Mus musculus: one gene and its partners. The protein of the gene in region 1 purifies or fractionates together with the protein of each later gene. This does not show direct contact. Links are inferred from orthologs where the notes say so. Each region holds a gene or a part of one and is shown in the gene's direction. Other genes may lie near its edges.

Evidence for each region.
Region 2: the proteins of Eif4a1 (region 1) and Eif4g3 purify together in Homo sapiens (co-immunoprecipitation; 6 studies listed by BioGRID and IntAct, counting the BioPlex papers as one, with this or other methods). This does not show direct contact. The link is inferred for Mus musculus from reciprocal best matches to the Homo sapiens genes EIF4A1 and EIF4G3.
Region 3: the proteins of Eif4a1 (region 1) and Ibtk purify together in Homo sapiens (co-immunoprecipitation; 4 studies listed by BioGRID and IntAct, counting the BioPlex papers as one, with this or other methods). This does not show direct contact. The link is inferred for Mus musculus from reciprocal best matches to the Homo sapiens genes EIF4A1 and IBTK.
Region 4: the proteins of Eif4a1 (region 1) and Eif4e purify together in Homo sapiens (affinity purification with mass spectrometry; 8 studies listed by BioGRID and IntAct, counting the BioPlex papers as one, with this or other methods). This does not show direct contact. The link is inferred for Mus musculus from reciprocal best matches to the Homo sapiens genes EIF4A1 and EIF4E.
Region 5: the proteins of Eif4a1 (region 1) and Eif3b purify together in Homo sapiens (affinity purification with mass spectrometry; 4 studies listed by BioGRID and IntAct, counting the BioPlex papers as one, with this or other methods). This does not show direct contact. The link is inferred for Mus musculus from reciprocal best matches to the Homo sapiens genes EIF4A1 and EIF3B.

Annotation. Positions count from the first base shown.
Region 1 is NC_000077.6:69,666,413-69,669,591, reverse strand, and holds the end of Eif4a1 (eukaryotic initiation factor 4A-I), read left to right. Parts: intron 1-345; coding exon 346-514; intron 515-596; exon of another isoform or gene 597-740; intron 741-838; coding exon 839-948; intron 949-1,043; coding exon 1,044-1,187; intron 1,188-1,258; coding exon 1,259-1,396; intron 1,397-1,480; coding exon 1,481-1,570; intron 1,571-1,615; exon of another isoform or gene 1,616-1,758; intron 1,759-1,817; coding exon 1,818-1,897; intron 1,898-1,974; coding exon 1,975-2,119; 3' UTR 2,120-2,656; downstream 2,657-3,179. UniProt on the Homo sapiens protein: ATP-dependent RNA helicase which is a subunit of the eIF4F complex involved in cap recognition and is required for mRNA binding to ribosome.
Region 2 is NC_000070.6:137,991,844-137,996,334, forward strand, and holds the start of Eif4g3 (eukaryotic translation initiation factor 4 gamma 3), read left to right. Parts: upstream 1-1,612; 5' UTR 1,613-1,784; exon of another isoform or gene 1,785-2,104; coding exon of another isoform or gene 2,105-2,301; exon of another isoform or gene 2,302-2,733; intron 2,734-4,491. UniProt on the Homo sapiens protein: Component of the protein complex eIF4F, which is involved in the recognition of the mRNA cap, ATP-dependent unwinding of 5'-terminal secondary structure and recruitment of mRNA to the ribosome. Functional homolog of EIF4G1.
Region 3 is NC_000075.6:85,746,508-85,750,973, reverse strand, and holds the start of Ibtk (inhibitor of Bruton tyrosine kinase), read left to right. Parts: upstream 1-1,639; 5' UTR 1,640-1,843; intron 1,844-4,466. UniProt on the Homo sapiens protein: Acts as an inhibitor of BTK tyrosine kinase activity, thereby playing a role in B-cell development. Down-regulates BTK kinase activity, leading to interference with BTK-mediated calcium mobilization and NF-kappa-B-driven transcription.
Region 4 is NC_000069.6:138,550,047-138,553,737, forward strand, and holds part of Eif4e (eukaryotic translation initiation factor 4E), read left to right. Parts: intron 1-216; coding exon 217-280; intron 281-846; coding exon 847-960; intron 961-3,535; coding exon 3,536-3,675; intron 3,676-3,691. UniProt on the Homo sapiens protein: Acts in the cytoplasm to initiate and regulate protein synthesis and is required in the nucleus for export of a subset of mRNAs from the nucleus to the cytoplasm which promotes processes such as RNA capping, processing and splicing.
Region 5 is NC_000071.6:140,418,074-140,422,294, forward strand, and holds the start of Eif3b (eukaryotic translation initiation factor 3 subunit B), read left to right. Parts: upstream 1-1,231; 5' UTR 1,232-1,287; coding exon 1,288-1,753; intron 1,754-4,221.

The DNA of each region.
Region 1 (3,179 bases):
AGATTTTGGGTTTTGTTTGCACATCAGCTGGGGATGTTGGCTCTAGTGGAACACTAAGTCTTGGTTCTGTGGCAGGGATGAAATAATCACACACATTGTTGGTATAAGGCTATGTTCATAATCCCAGCCTTTGGATTTGGAATGTGGTAGTAGGGTGGAGAGTGATTTCTAAGCCTTTGTAGAGCTGGCCTGGTGTTTTTTTACAAGGCTGCATGTAGGGGTGGGGAAATTACTGTGAACCTGTGTGGTGGGATTCAGCACTGCCATTTGTGGTTGTAGTGCTGGGATTGAGAGAGAATTACGTGGGTACCGCCCGAGTTAATGTAGATGTTCTTCTGCATTCAGATACAAAAGGTGGTTATGGCATTAGGAGACTACATGGGTGCCTCTTGTCATGCCTGCATTGGGGGCACCAATGTGCGTGCTGAGGTGCAGAAGCTGCAGATGGAAGCTCCCCATATCATCGTGGGTACCCCTGGCCGGGTGTTTGACATGCTTAACCGGAGATACCTGTGTGAGTACCATGTAACAGTTGGTGGGCATTCCCACATGTCATTTTCTTGGATGCAAGTTTTCCTTTAGTTTAGAACTGAGTTGCTCTGTGATGAACCCCATGCGTGTCATCTGAGCCTGGCTTCCCTGTTGTTACCTTAGCCCAGGTAGTGTTCTACTTACCAGGGCTTTTGCCTGGCTTATCAGGGAAGCTTTGGGCAAAGGATCAGTCCTTGTATTCTGAGAGCAGACATCTGCCCTTTGACTGCCCTCTTACCAAGAGATTTCCATGTATTTCACATTTGTCTGATCACTATGTGTTGGTGTTTTTTCTTCTGCCTTCTAGCCCCCAAATACATCAAGATGTTCGTACTGGATGAAGCAGATGAAATGTTAAGCCGAGGGTTCAAGGATCAGATCTATGACATATTCCAGAAGCTCAACAGCAACACACAGGTGGACAAATGGCGAGGTTGATAGGACACAAGGGGCTTGGTTGTGATCTGAGGAATGTACAGTGCCCTCATCATGGCTGCTGTTTTCCCCATTAGGTAGTTTTGTTGTCTGCTACAATGCCTTCTGATGTCCTTGAGGTGACCAAGAAATTTATGAGAGACCCTATTCGGATTCTTGTCAAGAAGGAAGAATTGACCCTGGAGGGTATCCGCCAATTCTACATCAATGTGGAACGAGAGGTGAGGCCCAGTGCAGGAGGCAGACCTGGTAGTAAGTTGTTGAGTGTAACCCCTGACTTCTGAATCTCCAGGAGTGGAAGCTTGACACATTGTGTGACTTGTATGAGACGCTGACCATCACCCAGGCAGTCATCTTTATCAACACCAGAAGGAAGGTGGACTGGCTCACCGAGAAGATGCATGCCCGAGATTTCACTGTTTCTGCCATGGTGAGTTTTAATGGCTATGTGTCTCTGTGTGTCTGTCTGTGTTGGGAGCCTTGTGCCAAATGCTTCTACCTCTTTGTTTTCCAGCACGGAGATATGGACCAAAAGGAACGAGATGTGATCATGAGGGAGTTCCGGTCTGGCTCTAGCAGAGTATTAATTACCACTGACCTGTTGGTGAGTAGATGCTTTCAGGGAAAGAAAGGAAGACAAGTTAAGTTAGTCCAAGGTGATTCCCTCTCCAAAGGGCTGACTGTGTGCCCTTTTCAGGAACGTAGCAACTTGGAAGAAAACCAGGCGTGCCTGAGGTCTCTGGTGGACAAGAAACTCTTGTTTCCTTTGCCCTCCTCTGGCTGCCTACATGTATGCCTACTTAATTAGGATAGATTGTATCCTCTGATGGCTATATTCTTTCCTGACCTAGGCCAGAGGCATTGATGTGCAGCAGGTCTCCTTAGTCATCAACTATGACCTTCCCACCAACAGGGAAAACTACATCCACAGGTAAGTCTAGGTCTGACAGACTAAACAACCCCTATGCTGAAACCCAAGTGTTCCATCATCCTTTTTACCCCCCTCAGAATCGGTCGAGGTGGTCGGTTTGGTCGTAAGGGTGTGGCTATTAACATGGTGACCGAAGAAGACAAGAGGACTCTTCGAGACATTGAGACTTTCTACAACACCTCCATTGAAGAGATGCCCCTCAACGTTGCTGACCTCATTTGAGGGGCTGTCCTGCGACCTGGCCCTAGCCCAGGGTTCAGTCCTGGGGTGGGGCTAAGGAAGAGCTGGAGGGGGGAGGGGAGGGAGCCAAGGGATGGACATCTTGTTTTTGTTTTGGCTTTTTTTTTTTTTGTTTCAGTTTTTTTTCTCTATGAATAAATGTCACTTTTTGAGGCAAAAAGAAGGAACCGTGAACATTTTAGACACCCTTTTCTTTGGGGTAGGCTCTGCCCCAGGCGCCGTCTCCTTCCCCCCCCAAACACTAATGCATTTCCCTAACCTAGTCACCTCGTTCCTAAAGGCTTTCCTACCCCAGCCAAATCTCCAAAAGTGAGTCAAGGGGCTAAAAAACAAGGCTGGCCTCATTTGCTGGACCAAATCTACAGGGAGAACCCCTGAGTGAGGTTGTCCAGGGAATTGTCCCCTGGTGAGGGGAGCAGGGGAGAGAAAATGGTAGCCATTTTTACATTGTTTTGTATAGTATTTATTGATTCAGGAAACAAACACAAAATTCTGAATAAAATTACTTGGAAACTGCCTGTTTGGGCTTCTTGTTTCTTTCCCTTCCCTCCTACCTGCTAGTGTGGATCACCTGCCCCCATACTAGTTGATTACTGAATTTGCCATGTTGCTTCCTGCAATACCAAATGACCCACATTACTAACATTTGGTAATTTGCCTCAGTGTTAGGCACAAGACATGAGTGAAACTTGCTGCATTAAGACTTAAACTGGCTGGGTATGGTGGCGCAAGCCTTTAATCCCAGCATTCTGCCGGAGGCAGAAGCAGGTGGATTTCTGAGTTCGAGGCTAGCCTGGTCTACAAAAGTGAGTTCCAGGACAGCCAAGGCTACACAAAATACCTGTCTTGAAAAACCAAAAAAAAAAAATTCAACTGGTTGGTTAGGCCTAGCCCAGATGATGTAGGTGTCAACTCACCTTGGGGATGTAGGGAGATGGTTGTTCTGTAGCTCTTCCTGTCCTGCAACTAAATAAATAGGCTAAGCTGACCTCTTACATCTGCCTTCGGCCTCCTGTGCTAGGATTGGAGTGCATGGGTGGGG
Region 2 (4,491 bases), on another chromosome or scaffold:
AAGGGCCCGGTGGTGAGTGCCTATAATTCTAGTACTTGGAGGGTAGAGGCAAGACAAGCAGGAGTTCAAGGTTATCCTCAGGCACGTGGAGAGATGAGGCTAGCCTGAGCTACTTAAGACTCTCTCAAAAAGAAGCAAGCAAGCCAACAAACCCAGAGAAACCAACGACCACCCCAACTCTGAAACCCACCAATGTAGCAGGAGTCAGGACACTAATCTTGTTTGTATGTTCATGTGTATGGCGACCAGGGGACAACCTCAGGTGTCTTCTTCTGGTGCTGTCACCTTTTATTCTGGAGACAGGGTCTCTCACTGGCCTGGAACTCATCAGATGGAGTGGGCTGTGACCAGTGAGCCTCAGGGAACTGTTGGTCTTCACCTCAATGCTGGGACTGTATACACCTCTCGCACACCAGACTTTTCCTGAGTGAATTCTGGAGTCTGCACTTGGGTCCTAACGTTTGCAACTCAAGCACACAGGACACAGGACACTAATTTTACCTCTGTCCACGTTGGTCATGTGACCTTGGCAAAGTCTCCTGTCAGCTTTGAGCTGCCTCAAAAAAAATTTTTTTTTAATAGTGTAGATGATAGCTAAACTTCTTTGGACCCCAGAGTCTTCATTTGTAAGAATAGGTATTTACCTATTTCTTGGGATTATATGAGCTAATGCAGTACTCCATATCTGCACAGTTCGGAGGTGTCTGCGACTCCTTTTCTGTCAATGTTACTGTGTCCTGGGGACAATGCCTCTATTGAGGGGCGCAGGTGTGGTGTGCAAAGTGTGAATGGATGTGGGGGGAGGAGACCTTATCCACAGGAGTTAGCCAAGCAAAAGAAGATGGGCAGCCGACTACAGGTTGTAGTCAAAGGCCCCTCCAGTCTTGGGGAAGACTGTGGGAAGATATCCACTCTACAGAGCTTAGGGTCAGTTTCTGGCAAGGCAGGCCATTTTGCATCCTAGAAGGGTAAGGTTCATCCTAGAGAAGGTGGGATCCCGTTTCTGAATCCGCTCCATCCCTTCCCAGCCAGGCGACCTTGGGGCAGTCACTTTTCTTCTCCGGGGCCTCCTCTGCAAAATGGGGCTCCTCGTTCCATTTCGCACTTTGGGCATCTGAGGACGACGTGTCGACATAATGCCCATGGCTGGCGACGTCAAGGGCCGGCGAGTGGCATCTGTTATGTTAATAAGTCCTTGAGGCGGGCGGGTTCCTAACTGTCGGTTTGTGCTCTGGCTTAGCGGTTCCCTCCGCAGCGCCTCGGTTTTTCCGCTCCGCCGCCTCTCGACGCTTGCTTGGCAGGTCTCGACGGACCGCGGCCTCGGGTGCCGTTACTATTGTTCTTCGAGGCTGAGCTCTCTCCCTACAGACGTGCCCTTCGGTCTCTCCCTCAGCTCCGCACCGCGCCGCGGAGATCCTCAGCCGTCCCGGATCACCGATCTTTCCCGAGAAAGAGTGTCAGCTCCTGCGGCGTTCCCGAACAGCGGCCGAAGGCGCTCCCGAGCGCTCCCGAAGAAGCCCGGCCGCTCGCGGTCTCCGGAAATAGCCGAGAGAGCTTGCCACCCTCGGTCTGCCGAGTCCTTCCGAAAAGGGCCGAAAAGCTCCGAGCGGCCGTCCTGCCGGACTGCTGGAGGCGGCCGCAGCGCCATGTTGGATGCTCTGCTCGTTGAGTGAAGAAAATCCGTCCGCATCGCCCGAGCCCCGCTACCGAGAAGGGCGCCGCTTCCCCCGGGGAGGGGGACAGAGACCCCCCGCCGCCGGCCCATGAGGATATTGCCGTGAAAGGTCCGGTCTCTCCGCCTCCTGCCCCTGCCGGGTCCGGCCCCCCCCTCCCCGGGGTCGCGTTGTCACGGAGACCGGCAGCCGGTGGTGCTGGCCCGCGGGGCGGCTGCTGCTGCCCGCGGCGGCGGCGGCGGAGGCGGCGGCGGCGGAGGGCGTGTGTGACCGGTCCCGGCCCCCTCCTCCTCCTCCTCCCAGCCTCCCCCCGGCCCCCCGCTCCCGCCGCCTCCCCGGGTCTGCCCCCATCCCGCCCCTCCGCTGCCCCCGGCCCCTGCACCCCGGCGCGCCCGGTCCCGCTCTGGGGGGGTTGGTGGCTTCGCTTTGCCATGAGTTTACCGCAGAAACCGGCTCTGAAATCAGGCTCAGCGGCTGCAGCAGGAACCGGACCCGGCACCGGAGCGGCGGCGGCGGCGGCGGTACCGCCTCCTCATCCGGCGGCAGCGGCGGCGGCGGCGGCAGTAGCGGCAGCGGCGGCCCCTCCTCACCCGAACATCAGGGCCCTCCAGACCCCGGCGCCCCAACAGTATCCTTTTCACCTTCCGGCGGTCCAGAGCGACCCTCGGTGGGAACCTCCTTGCCTGCCGTCATAGCCCGGCCAGAAAAGGGACGGGCAGCCGCTCTGCTCCCGGCTTGACCCGAGCTTTTGGGGTGCACCGGTGACAGCATTGCTGGGGACCCCGGGACCCTCTGCGGTACCGTGAACACTACTAGCTCCACCGGGCCGTGCCTCTGCAGCTCTTGTGGATCTGGGGGGAACCCTGCCCTTGGCTGCTCCCTCCCCTTTCTTGGGCAGAATTTGCTGGTGCCTAGGACCAGCCCTGCGGGCAAGGCTTTTCTGACTGTTGGGAGGCCCTGCCTTCTGCGGGGCTCGGTAGCCTCTCTAATTATTATTTAGGATTCATAGCAAAGTTTATTGCTAAATTTTCTGTTGGAAACGAATCAGCTCATTCCTGAGGTAAGTTGGGTCTTCAGTCTTTACTGCAAGTGTACAAAAAGCACCCCCCCCCGCTAGTGTTTTGTTTTATTTTATTTTATCGTATTTTATTTTTTTAAGCAATTAGAGTTGTGTTGTGGCTTGTGGTGGAGCCGGCTAAGGAGGAAATGTTACACTGGGCGCTTCCCTGTCTTTGACCTTTCTAAAGGAAGAGGAAGTTAACTCACATTACCCAGTACCCCCAGAAGTCTCACTTCTTCTAAGACTGGTGTTAACGCTGTATATCTTTTTTAAAGGGCTTTAGTAAGTTTGCTGCTCCGTAGGGTGGTGTCTGGAGGGTACCAGGGCTCCCAAGGAAGGGTCTTAGTTTTGAATGTGTCTTAATTTCATGGTATAGAAGTTGGGGCAGCTTTGATTGAAAAATCTTGGTACCTGGTATTTAAGTCAGAATAAAACGTCGAATTCACAGCTCCTATGGAGTAAAGGAAGGTGATACTCCTTTGGATCCCCACTGGGTTTCTCTGTGTAGCCCTGGCTGCCCTAGAACTTGCTCTGTAGACCAAGCTGCCCTTGAACTCAAGAGATCCGCCTGCCTCTGCCTCCTGAATGCTGGGATTAAAGGTGTGCGTTACCATCGATGGGCAAGCAGAGGTGTTGTTACCTATCTGAGAATAACATTTCATCATCTCCCCCGCCCCCACCCCCCATCCTTGGACTTGTGAAAAATGGACAAATGATTTTTGGATGTTCCCAGTGCTGTGTGGTTCTTGTGTTTGACTTGTAAGTGGTGTTGGGGCTAGTCATTTCTGTGTAGTTTGATTCTTGTCTGTATCAATTACTTTGAGAAGGGAAAAACACTTCCCCTTCTTGGGTCACCTCAGGTCATTGTTTGTTTTCTGTCCAGCGTTCTTTCTGTGTTCTTTACATATTGTTAGTCCACATCTTAGTGCTCCAGTGCTATGTGTGGAGTGATTTCATAATGTTCTGACCCTGCCCAGTTCTGTTCAGTTTCTCGCTTGCTCGCGGCTGAGAATGTTGCGTGTTCATGGAGAACCCAGTTGCTTCTGACCCACATGCGCAGCTATTGGCCTGTGAAGGAGCAGGTCGGCCGTTCAGCCTGCTTCGGGGTAGAATTGGGTCGCTTCAGTCTACCTAGCTTCACTTTCATACTTGCTTCGAATTCCGTTCTAATTTTAGGGTTGTTTTTCTTGATGGTCTGTCTGTGTTGGTAGGTTTCTGTCTCCGGACCAAGTGAGTTGTTCCTTACCTGCCTCTTTAAGCTGTTAGGGAGTTAACCAGAGGGATTGCACACTGTGTGTTCTGGACAGACAGACAGACCAGCAAGTAAGGGATCATAGTGTTGTACGTGACAGCGCTTGGTGAAGTTGGTGGCTTCATTGGATACAGAGCGGGGGTGCTGAGTATCCCAAGTATGCTTTTGCTCCTTAGAGCTCACAGCTGAAGGACTGGAAAAACTTGAAGCTGGTTACAACTTGGAAGTCGTGGTTGGACCTCCAGTTAGATTTTTATCTTTTCTTTAAAATAGAAGGAAGATGCAGTTGGGAAACAGGAAGGAATAAGGTGTTCTCTGCAGAGAAGATTATTCTAAACCCTTCATGGCAACCTTGGAGCCAGCCGTGCTGCTTGGAGGTTCTATTTTGCCCCATGTCATGGCGGCTGACATTTTATACTTGATGTATTCTACAATTCCTGCTTTACTCCGGCAAGATCGCACAGCTAAATAAGCATCTATCGAGATAGTAAAGGAAGCGTGGGCTA
Region 3 (4,466 bases), on another chromosome or scaffold:
AATAAATAACGTTATGTCAGAGTCTCAGTTTGGTCAGCACCGCGGCAACTGTGGCTGATAAGTTTTACTTTGTAAGCAGCTTTCTAATATTCTCTTTCTGATCCTTGTTGAAGCAGGACCAGTTTCGTCCCCCATCTCCAACGGCAAAGACATTCATTCCTTGGCATGATGCTGGTCTTTCTTTTTCTGCTTCACCTAGTTATTTTCTACTTCTTCCCTAGTTTGTCATTTTTTTTGGGGGGGGGGGTCAGATGAAACCTCTTATTTTCTTTCACAGATTCGTTAAAGTTGCAATTAATTTTTGTGTATATGATTATGGCCGTATGGACATTTTGTACCCCCAATGCTTACAAGCGTTTGAGACATGGCAACTTCTAGGTGGTGTTACTGTGTGCTTGGCACTCTGCTAAGTGCTGCGGGCGTCTATCAACACATTTTCACTACAGCAACATGTATTCCATTCCCACTTTGCAGATGAGGAAATTAAGGCTTCAGAAAACCTAAATGACTTACCCAATACAAAGAAGAGACAGATAAAAGATGTGAACTCAGGGCAACACATTTATTTACATCACTAGCTTCCAGATCACTGAGCGTCTTTGTTCATGAGTGTGTACACAGCTTCCTTCCAAGTCACTGTTTATACATTACAGAATGGGTCAGAGTAGGAAGTAAGAAAGCAAATTAAGTCCTTGCACTGGGAGGAGAGCTGGGGAGCTAGGTCTGTTTCCATCTCTCCTTCAGTTTGATCTAGCAACTTACTTTCCTACAAAGTCTACAAAACAGGCAATTGGGCTGAAGCAGTCTAAGAGGGTATTGAGTTTAACTCCGTTTAATAGATGATGGTGTCAGTGGCTCATACAGCAACACAAACAGGGCCGAGGTTCAAACAACTCTGGGCTCCAAGTGCTGTTTTTCTCTGAGTCATGCTACTCCTCCCTGAACACATGTTTACTAAGGCGCCTCTGTATCAGACTTCAGCAGGAGTATGTTTTCCGTTCTGGACTGATTATTGGCACACAATTTGCAACCTTTAAAATGGCTTGTAGATTTAAGAGTTCAGGGAGGAAAACCTATTGTAAGCCTGGCGTCAGGCAGACAGATGTGACCCAAGTCAGCAGCTGGTCGCACAGTGGCGATCTGAAAAATCTATGGCGCCTTCTGACAAAAAGAGAGTGACACTCAGACAATCCGGGCACAACAGGCGGGGCACAGAGCAGCAGGGCCCAGTCTTGGGGAGAGGACACCTCTGGTTTTCCAGTTATCCCACTACGAGTGATCCGGGAAGCAACTTTTCTAAGATGCCCACGTTTCTACGGAGTGGTGCTTGGGCATCCAGCCAGTTCCTTGTTTCCTCCATCCCAGCCTTAACCTCCTTTCCGAGTGTCGACCTGCGGGGAGACAGATCTCCTAGGGTGACATCTGGCACCAAGAGGGGCAGTACTGGTTCTGAGTGTAGGGCGGCAGCCAGTGTCGACCGCACCAAGGCCGGCAGGGGTCATGCTCCTTTGGGATACTAGGGAAAGGCCACAGCTGAGGTACTGCCACGCTAGGCCTTGTGGGCAGGCCCCGACCAATCACTGTGGGGCATACACGAACTCCGGCCAATCAGCGCCCGTCTTATTCCCGAGTCCCGCCCGCTCTAGCTCAGGTTTCCCCGAACCCGGTCCCGGCGCCGACAGTCGCGGCTGTCGCTTTCCGTGCAGCCGTCCCCGGAGCTGACTCGGGCGTCCCGGCTCCTGGCTCCCTTCGTTGTCCCCGGTAGCTTTCACTAAGGATGAGTCCCTGCGCGGCCGCGCGCCTGCCCCGCGGAGACCGCCGGCGCACCTTCATCTAGCGACTGGTGAGGGCGACGGCGAAGGCGTCCTGCCAGCCCGGCAGGGGAGCGGGGCCCGGGGAGGGAACTCGCGGAGGGGGCGGCTGCCGAGCTTCGCGCCGCGTGGCACGGGCGGGTGGCCTGGCAGCGCAGCCCCGCCGCCCCTGCCAGCTAATGAATGGCCTTGTCCCGCCAAGTGCTACGTCGCCAAGCTGCCCGACACGCCCTCCAGCGACGATGCTTTTCTGGTTCCGAGGGTTGACTGGTGTCACCTCCCTTGGATCCCTTCCTAGAGGCTCCCATGTCCCCTAAACCCTTGGTGGAGTTTACAAAGTTTGAGTTCCCGCGGGCCTTGCTGAGTTTGCAGAAGCAGGTCTTGCTCTGAGCATTCGCTGCTGGGTGGAAGTGGACTGGGGTCTGTTCTGCAGAGACAGGATAGAGGGGCCTTTTGTTCGTAGCTATCAGGTTGCAAAGGCATTTTGGATCCGAGGGGAAATGGCCAACCCTGATTTAAGCCGTCTTTAACTCTGTTATCTAACACAGTCATAAAACATGAGTCGTGTTAGTCAGAGGGGATATTTTTCAAGGAGGAGAAGTTGAGTAGCACCTGTTTCCTTTATCTCGAAGTAGGTAACATTTGAAGTAGTTCCCCCCCCCCCCCCATAGTTAGTGTGGTTACCTCCATATGCAAATTACCAAACGTTTTGTGTGTGTGTGTGTGTGTGTGTGTGTGTGTGTGTGTTTTTCGTCATCAGTTCCTCACTTCTCAGTGGAGTTACTTTCATTTGTTTTTATTGATTTGGAGACCTGCTTCACCGTACCTGAGGACAGAACTATTTTCTAAAACGTGTTTTCTAAAAAAGTTTTTGCAAAACTTGAGTCACATCGCAGCTTTACAGTTTTTCAATTGGATATGTTAATCTTCGGTTTTTTTTTTTCTTTTTAGTAAATCTTGTTTGAAGGGCTTTCTGTGTGCCAATTTTTTTTTTCTGTGTGCCAATTTTTGTGTGATGATTTCATTACATTTTAAACGTTCAAGATGCTTGTGGATTATAAAATTCTAGACTGAATGAGTATGCCCAAACTTCTTTCTTTCTTTCTTCCTTTTTTTTTAAAAAATATTTATTTATTTATTTATTTATTTTACGCATATGAGTACACTGTAGCTGTACAGTTGGGAATTGAATTTTTAGGACCTCTGCTTGCTCTAGTCGGCTCTGCTCGCTCTGTTCAACTTCGCTCACTCAGTCCCTGACTGCTCCAGCCCAAAGATTTTATTTATTATTATACATAAGTACACTGCACCTGACTTCAGATGCACGAGAAGAGGGTGTCAGATCTCATTAAGGGTGGTTGTGAGCCACCATGTGGTTGCTGGGATTTGAATTCAGAAGAGCAGTCAGTGCTCTTACCAGCTGAGCCATCTCTCCAGCCCTTAATCTCACTTTTTACAAATGAAAATATTGAAGCTTTGAGAAAATTCAGAGGTTTGCTCAGGGTCCTTAGGGAAGCTACGTACTTGGGTCATGGTACTGAGCAGTAGCTGAGAGCTCACACCTGATCCGAAAGAGAGACAAACAGAGACTGAGACTGACCAGGCCTGGTTTGAGCATTTGAAACTTCAAAGCTCACCTCCAGTGACACACCTCATCTATCAAGGTCACAGCAACACACAGCCATACCTCCCAGTCTTTCCCAAACAGTTGAACTAACTGGGGGCCAAGCATTCAAGCATAGGAACCTTTGGAGTCCATTGTCATTCATACCACTGTAAACACGCATGCCCATCTGGAACTTTTTTTAAAAAATAATGTGATTTTAAAAAAGATTTATTTATTTAATGTATGTGAGTACACTATCTGTCTTCAGACACAAGAAGAGGGCATCAGATCCCATTACAGATGGTTGTGAGCCACCATGTGGTTGCTGGGAATTGAACTCAGGAACTCTGAAAGACCAGTCAGTGTTCTTAACCACTGAGCCATCTCTCCAGCTAGCCCATCTGAAATTCTACCTGGGCTTTGAAATATATATATATTTCAAATATATTTCAAATATATATATTTCAAATATATATATATATATTGTTTGTTTGAAAATTGCATGTACTGTGTTTCATTAAACCCACTCCACATTTCTTCCCCTCTAATTTCTTTCCTGTCCTTTCTACCAGTATTTCCTCCTACTTTAAATGTGTTCTCTTTTTTTAAAAAAACACTTAGACCATTTAATGTGACCAATGTGTACTTGGGTGTAGGGCTATCTGCTGGATTGTGGGTAGCCTCTCAAAAGCCACACCCCTGATGAAAACTAACTTTCTCCCATTAACCATCAATTGTCAGTAGTTTTTCTGCTAGGGAAGTGACTTCCTGACCACCTCCCTGTCTGTCCTATGCTAGGATTTTGTCTGGCTTTATCTTATTCAGATCTTATGCATGCAATCAGAGTGGCTGTGAATTCATATGCCCAAGCACCCTGCTGTGTTAAGAAGAACACTGTTTTGCTGTAGACTACCTTTGGCTCTTAAATTATTTTATCTCTTCTTTCACACTAATCTCTGGAACCTGGGAAGGATAGGGTATGATACAGATGCCCTGTTTTTTTTTTTTTTTTTTTTTAATAGTTTTTTTTTTTAAGATTTATTCATTTA
Region 4 (3,691 bases), on another chromosome or scaffold:
GTTTGTATTAGTTTACATTATAAATTTCTTTGAGTGTAATCATTATTTAGACCTGTTGTGTCCATTTCAGAAATTAACTACATACAGAGTCAAAAAAAGAAAAACAAATCTACATACTTTTATGTTTTCGTATTTTCCAAATGTGTGTGTGTCTGTGTAAGCACCCAAACCCTGCATTACATATTATGTTTTTAATTATTATTTTCTTTTACCTAGTCTATACAACCATATCCAGTTGTCTAGTAATTTAATGCCTGGCTGTGACTACTCACTTTTTAAGGTATGCCTAATCAATGATTGTTTATATTTATTACAGGACCAGACCATTCAGGTATTTGTAAAAACTGGCCACAAATTCAGGCAGTTGGCTTTACCAGGCTTGAGTACAGTGCTCTGTGGTAATATTTAGTTACTCATGGGAACATCCTGGGATTGACTCGAGCCTTGCTAATTCTGTGCAGCCCTTCCTGGATATACTTGAATAGACTGACTTCGTCAGCTAATTTTAAACCCATGAGATATTTATAAACAGACCTTTGTCAGGTGCTAGGATAGGACGTTAGTTAGCTCAAATTACATAGTTTTTAATGTAGCTTCTAAAAGGTTTCTGCTCGGGAATTTTCAGAACCTTTAGGTGACATGAAGCTTTGCAGTTGGAGAATTCACAAGGAGGTGGGACGCTTGCGCAGTTGCATGCCTCTGGCGTGTAGTTCTTGTGTATGTTTAAAAGCCGTGCCAGTGGCAGGGGTACAGGGAACGAAAGAAAAGTTGTCAGTGGTGCTTGCTGAGTCTAATACTGTGTCTCGGAGTACCAGTGCTGTCTAATGCTGCCTTCTCCTCCTGCAGGACGGGATTGAGCCTATGTGGGAAGATGAGAAAAACAAACGAGGAGGACGGTGGCTGATCACACTGAACAAGCAGCAGAGACGGAGTGACCTCGATCGCTTCTGGCTAGAGACAGTAAGGCTTTAGGATATGTTTGCCTTTCTCTACTTACAGCCCCTGTTCTAAAGAAGCCCTTGTGCTCACGTGGCATCACATTTACTAAAACCAGAACGAGTAGAAATTGGTACCACGCTTGTGCAAGGATGACATTTAAATCCCTGAAGCGTTTTGGTATTTGGACATAGCTGGAAAGTATGTTAAGGGAAATAAGCCAGACTTGGGAAGAAGATGGCACGTCTTCTCTCATGTGGAACTTAGGTTTTAAATACATGAGTGTGTTACATAATCTGTATTTGCAGGACAGTGAAGACATGTACTAGGAGTGAAGCACGGAGGAGGTCGGGGTCAGATATGGGGAGGGGTGCGTGAGAACAAGCTAGCAGAGATGCTGTGAGGAAACCCACACCTTTATACTAACCTGAAACTACCATAGAATGCAAATACCTGTACACATCTGAGGGGAGGATCTTAGTGTGTTCAGGTGTGACCTTTCCTGTTGAATAAGTCACAGCCCTTGCTTTTTGAGGACAGGGTTTTACTACCCAGCTAGGCTGCTGTTGCCGCTCAGAGTCCTGCTGCCTCCAACTTTTTAATTATAGACATGTGCTAGTTGGCGAAGACTTTTTATCCATCCTGTGCGTATCTCAAACATGTGAGTCCAGTGAATGATTTCTATCATTCCACAAGTCATAAAAAATGATTGACAAACTAGGCGCAGTGGTGCAGTATTTTTATCCCAGAACTTGGCAGGCAGAAGCAGGCAGATCTCTGTGAGATCGAGGCCAGCCCAGTCTAGAGAGTTCCAAGACACCCAGGGATACAAAGAGAAATCCTGTCTCAAAACCAAAAAACTAAGCAAATAAAGTAAAAAGTGAATGACATTAACTTTACCTCTACAATCAGGTTCCCCCCTCTTATCTCATTAGTCAAAAATAATAGGACTTTATATTGTGATTAATGTGGACTTTTTATAACCCATTTATAGTATTACTGTAATTAAAAATTCTGAAAATTTGAAATTAGTGAAGCAAGTGATGACATTGTTGGTTAATATTTAAAACTAAATAATGTGTTGTGATATACTTTAGCCCTTTGGTTTTATGAGCTATACTATGAAACTAGGCATTTTCTGTGGTCAAGTTCTAGGTTGTAATTTTGGGACTGAAGTTCATAGTTAATGCTATTTTTTTAACCACTTAGACTCAGTACTGATTTACAGTTAGCACTGACTAAGTGAATAAGTACTTACATGGATCAGTAACATTTTATTAAAGCAAAGATTTAATCATGCTTTTGGAGGAGAGTATGAGTAAATAATACCATTGTGGAATGCCCTAGGCCAGTGGGTCTCAACCTTCCTAGTGCTGCAACCCTTTAAAACAGCTCCCCAAGTTGTGGGGACCTTCAACCAGAACATTATTTTTGTTGCTACTTCATAACATAAATTTTGCTGCTGTTATGAATTGTAATTTATATGTCTGTGTTTTCTAATGGTCCTAAGCACCCCCTTTAAAAGGATCGTTTAACCCCCAAGGGGGTTGTGACCTACAGGTTGGGTGCTGCTGCTGTAGGAAAAAGGACATTTCAGTTTGATAGGTTGAAAAATAATGTGATGGATTGAGTTACAGTTGCTCAGTGTATTTAATACCACTGAACTCTACTTTGAAACTGTTAGGAAATGGCAATTAATGGGAGCATAAATATATTGCTGTCATTGTGATCGCTGTCTGCAAGGTAACTAAGCATCCGAGCATCTGAGGCTAATGAGGTCACCTTTTTTGTGCGCCTAATGTGCAGAAAGAGGTAAAACAGTTGACGGGGTTTCTCTGTGTGGCCCTGGCTGTCCTGGAACTCACTCTGGAGACCAGGCTGGCCTCCAGAGTGCCTGGATTAAAGGCGTGCGCCACCACTGCCCGGCTGAATTTTTTTTTTTTAAGCCAAGAGAAAAAACAATGCAAACGAGTAAAATATAGACATTTTAAAAATTGGTTCTTGGGACTGAAGAGATGGCTAAATAGTTAAGAGCACTAGCTGTTCTTAACCAAGGAGAGATGATGGATGTTCAATTCTCATTACCCACTTGGCTCACAACTGTGTAATTCCAGTTCTGGGCGATCTGGACACAGACAAACACGCAGGCAGAATACCAATATTCTTAAAAATAAATAGGTTGGAGTTTTTTGTTGTTGTTTGTTTTTTTATCAGTTCTTAAGCTGCTCTGTGATTCTGCAGGTAAGGGTGCTTGCTTCCAAGTCTGAGTACCTGAGTTTAATTCCCAGAACTCACACGCTGTGCGTTGTCCTCTTCTTGCATTGATTTGCCACAGCATGTGTGTCTTGTCTCCATTCACAACAAAACAGAGTCAAATCTTACTCATTTGCTTTCTTTTTTGTCTCTAGATCAGGATGACTTCAAATTTGGCAATGCTGCCTCTCCTGACCAATTTAAGATGTCAGTTCTTGACTTAGAATCCGATTTATTTAGTTTTATAACTATACATAGAAGAGTCCTGTGTTTGCTTCTAAGTTGTTGATGATATATATATATATATATATTCGATGTAATTTGTTATTTTTTGTTTTATTTTTAGCTGCTGTGCCTTATTGGAGAATCTTTCGATGACTACAGTGATGATGTGTGTGGAGCTGTTGTTAATGTTAGAGCTAAAGGTGATAAGATAGCAATATGGACTACTGAGTGTGAAAACAGAGATGCAGTCACACACATAGGGTACGTTGTGCTCTCC
Region 5 (4,221 bases), on another chromosome or scaffold:
TTTTCTTAGGAATGATCTGGGACCAGAGAGGTGACTCAACTGTTTTTGTTGTTGTTTTGTCTTTTAAATTAGGCTCAACAGTTCAGAGCATTGCCTGCTCTTCTAGAGAGCCTGGGTTCTATTGCCAGCAACGACATGCGGTTCATAATTGTCTACTCTAAGTCCTGCGCGTGATACGATGCCTTCTTTCGGCCTCCGCTTGTACACGGTGCACAGACAGACTTGCTGGCAGAACACTGATACGCATAAAAAAAAATTCGAGTTAAGAGATGGTTGTAAACTACCATATGGGTACTGAGAGCGAAACTTGTGTTCTTAAGCTCTTAGTCCCCTCAACTAGTTCTTATTAAGATTTTCGAAACTTTGAACTGGAAGTATCAAAAATCTTGACTATCTTTTCAAGCAAACCACTCTTGGGGTCCCCCTGGTCACTCCACGAAGGTTCCGTCCCGTCCACCCCACGCTGGCCCACGTGATCGCGCTCTCCCGCGCGTGAAGACCGCAGTCACCGGCAGACAGAATCACAGTGACTTTCACGTCTGGGGCCAACGCTAAATTGCGAGCCGCTGCAGTGAGGATGGCCATTGAGATTAAAGCCGCTCATCACACGACTCTGCATTGTGCGGGCAGTCATTCTTGTGTGTGTTGGCGGCCCCTGGTTGTCGGCGAGCTCCTCGCGTAATTTTGGAACCCTTCGTTCTTTTGCCCCGTCAGTGGACCGGTCTAAAATGCAAGACCTTACGGGGGAGCGAAGCCAGTCATGTCAGTCAAGCAGTCTGTCTGATTAAAAGCAAAGCTTACAAAGAATCATGTGTGGAGCTTTCAGTTGTCTTGGCATTATTTTATGGTCACATATTTTGTCTTCATACAGTTACGCGTGTTAATCATTTGAGAATCCACTTGATGCTCCCCAGATAGTACAGTCCTTCCCCGTAGCGCCCGCTGGGAGAGGCAAAGGAACTTCTACCATCTTGGACGCAACTATTTCTTAGCTAGAATGGGGGAGCCACATATCCTTGTGAATTTATTTGCTACCTTAAAAAACCTTTTGGGCTATAAATAAACTTGCATATCTTGAAACTTATTATTTTAATTGTTTCTAGATTTTTATGCATATCTGAGTTTTCTCGGGCTGATCGTGAGGAATGAGGGCGTGGGTGTCTCCCCCGAGCCACATCTTGGTACGATCCCATCGCTGCACGCACATGGCTCCGCGCTAGCGGCGCGCGGTGACTTCTGGGAGTCGGAAGCAGGGCGGCCGAGCCGGGTGAGAAGCAGCGCGGGCCCATGCAGGACGCTGAGAACGTGGCGGTGCCCGAGGCGGCCGAGGAGCGGGCTGAGCCCGCGAGGCAGCAGCCGGCCTCCGAGTCGCCGCCGACGGACGAGGCGGCAGGGTCTGGGGGGTCCGAAGTGGGGCAGACGGAAGACGCCGAAGAAGACGCCGAGGCCGGACCGGAGCCCGAAGTGAGGGCCAAGCCGGCGGCCCAATCCGAAGAGGAAACGGCGACGAGTCCGGCCGCCTCGCCCACGCCGCAGTCGGCGGAGCGGTCCCCGTCGCAGGAGCCCTCTGCTCCCGGGAAGGCAGAGGCCGTTGGCGAGCAGGCCCGGGGGCACCCCTCGGCTGGAGCGGAGGAGGAGGGCGGGTCTGATGGGAGCGCGGCTGAGGCGGAGCCGCGGGCTCTGGAGAACGGAGAGGCAGATGAGCCCTCCTTCAGCGACCCCGAGGATTTCGTAGACGACGTGAGCGAGGAAGGTAAGGGCGATCGTGTCCCCGGCCAGGGCGCGAGGTCTCCCGGTTACAACGATCTTGTTTCCTCTACAGTGGGGGACCATTTGGGGAGTCCGTTTCTGCGGCAAGCCCTTGCACCTGGGGGTTGGTGGAGGGCAGGACGAACAGGACTATCTGGGGGCATTCCAGTTTCCTGGCCAAGGGTTTCCAGGGTTGACCAGTTGCTGTGTTCCCAATGGTTTCCGTAGTAAGGCATTGCCATCGGACCCAAGCACATTACCAACCTGCTTCCTTTTACTAGGTCGGTACCCTGGACCATTGCTTTTTCACATTGTTCGTTTGGCCGCTTACTTCATGATTTCTTCTATGGTGACTGGCTTTTTAAAGGCATTGTTTCTGTCTACCTGCACAGGAGCCAGATTCCTAAAATCTTTTTTGACAGTTGATAGCATGTGTTCCTCTGCCGTTTCAACTTCACTTGAGCCAGTTCCTTCATGTGTTGGTGTGGCTAATACCAAGGGCCAAAGGGCCTAAGAACACCACTTTTTTTTTTTTTTTTTTAAACGAGACAGGGCCTCTCTATGTAGTTCAGGCTGAAATTGAACTCTTGGTTCTTCTCAGTTTTCACGGTGCTGGTCCTACAGACATGTACTCCCAAACAATTGCTTTTGAACTACCATGAAAATTCAGCGCCCCAATATAGTTGTCAACTTAGAACTTACAATATTTCAAGAGGTCGTCATTTGATGTCACCATTGTTTGACTTAATCCTTTTGTATGTTTGTGGGGGTTGTTTTGTTTTGTTGTGAAACAGGGTCTGGCATGGTCCAGGCTGGCCAGCTCTTTATGAAGCTGAAGCTGTCTTTGATCCCCATCCTTCTGCCTCCACTTTCAGATTGCCAGGATTTGAGATGTGAGTCACCATGCCTGGCTTATTTCTTGAAAGATGGCTAAGAGTGAGAAGCCGATAAACTAATGTGAGGAATCTATAGGCTCCAGCCTTGAGGACGTTTATCTGGGTAGAGCAGGTTTCTGGGTTCCCACTCTCGCCCGACTCCAGTGCTTGCTAATGTACCTGTTTTCCCCATGTTAGAGCCTAAGCTTTGACTTTGAAGCTCCTTTTGAATCCTTGGTTCCTTTGGCTATTTTGGGTCTGGGCTGTCCCTGTCACTTCATGGTTTCAGACAGGACCTCACCATTTGGCTGGGCCAGCAGGCCACGTAGGTCCTTGTACTTTTCTAGCACTGGGAATGCGGCTCCGTGCCCCTCCAGCTTTTTTGAGTTGGGTGCTAGCCTACAGGAGTGATCTTACCTCAAGTCCTGCTGCTCGCCCAACAAGCGTCTTTTGAGCTAAACCATTTGCCCATAGGCACTACCAGCATCTTTTCCCCTTTTCAAAGGTCTGTTTTGTTTTGTTTATTTGTTTTTAATTGAAATTTTGCACAGGATCATTTTGCCCGTGTGTCTAGTGCCCATGGAGGCCATTGGATGGCTCTCTTAGAACTGGAGTTTGAATTAGAATTGGTTGTAAGTACTGGGAAGAAAATGGGTCAGTCTACTGCAAGATGAGTATTTAAAGAATATTTGAACCCGTTTAATTCACAGATTCCAGTATGTATATTATTTCCAGAATTGGGGATTATAGGAGTCAGGGGATGCTGGCTGGTGTGACTGCAAGGCCAGCCTGCCTTCAACAAGTCTGCTAGGAGCCCAGTGGGTCCCGTCCAGTGTATGCAGGGAAAGGGAGAGTAATGAGAATCTGGCCCTTAATGGTTGGAACTCTTAAGGCCATCTGGCTTTGGGCATCAGGGTGTCACAGTGTCATCAGGGTGAGAAGAGAAACAGCCTTTTGGTTTCTACCAGGAGGAGCAGTGTGGAATCCTCACATCAGTATATGCCTCCTATTCTGTTACTGATAATGAACAAGTTGTTTTCTCTAGTGTGCTGTGCATGCCAGCAGTTCAGTACTTGGAAGGTAGAGGTTTGAGGTTAGCCCTTGCTACATAGAGGGTGCAGAGCCAGCCCGAGGTACTTGGGACCCTATATCACAAGACAGATAGAAGGGGGCTGAAGAGATGGCTCAACACTTGCTGTTCTTCCAGAGCACCTGGGTTTGATTCCCAGCTCCTGCATGATGGCTCACAAGTCTCTGTAACTCAGGAGTGATCATGTGGTACACATATACACAAAAAACATTTATACATGTCACAATAAAGTGTAAAAAACCCAAGCAAATGGAAAGAAGCAGTGTGTTGCGTTCTGAGGATATTTTGCTCTGCGCTTCTCAGGAGAAGCAGATGGTTAGTTACAGGCTAGGAGCACTTTGAGCTCCTGGGAAGGAGTCTAGTCTGTATGGAAGCTGGGCTTTTCTTTATTGTGTCTTGTTAAGTTTAGATCCAGCTTAGCAGGCTGTTTAATTGTATGGTAAGCAGGCTTTTAAAGGAACCCGGAGTTTCTGTAGTGAAGGTGTGTGGCATGGCTGTGTTGAAAAT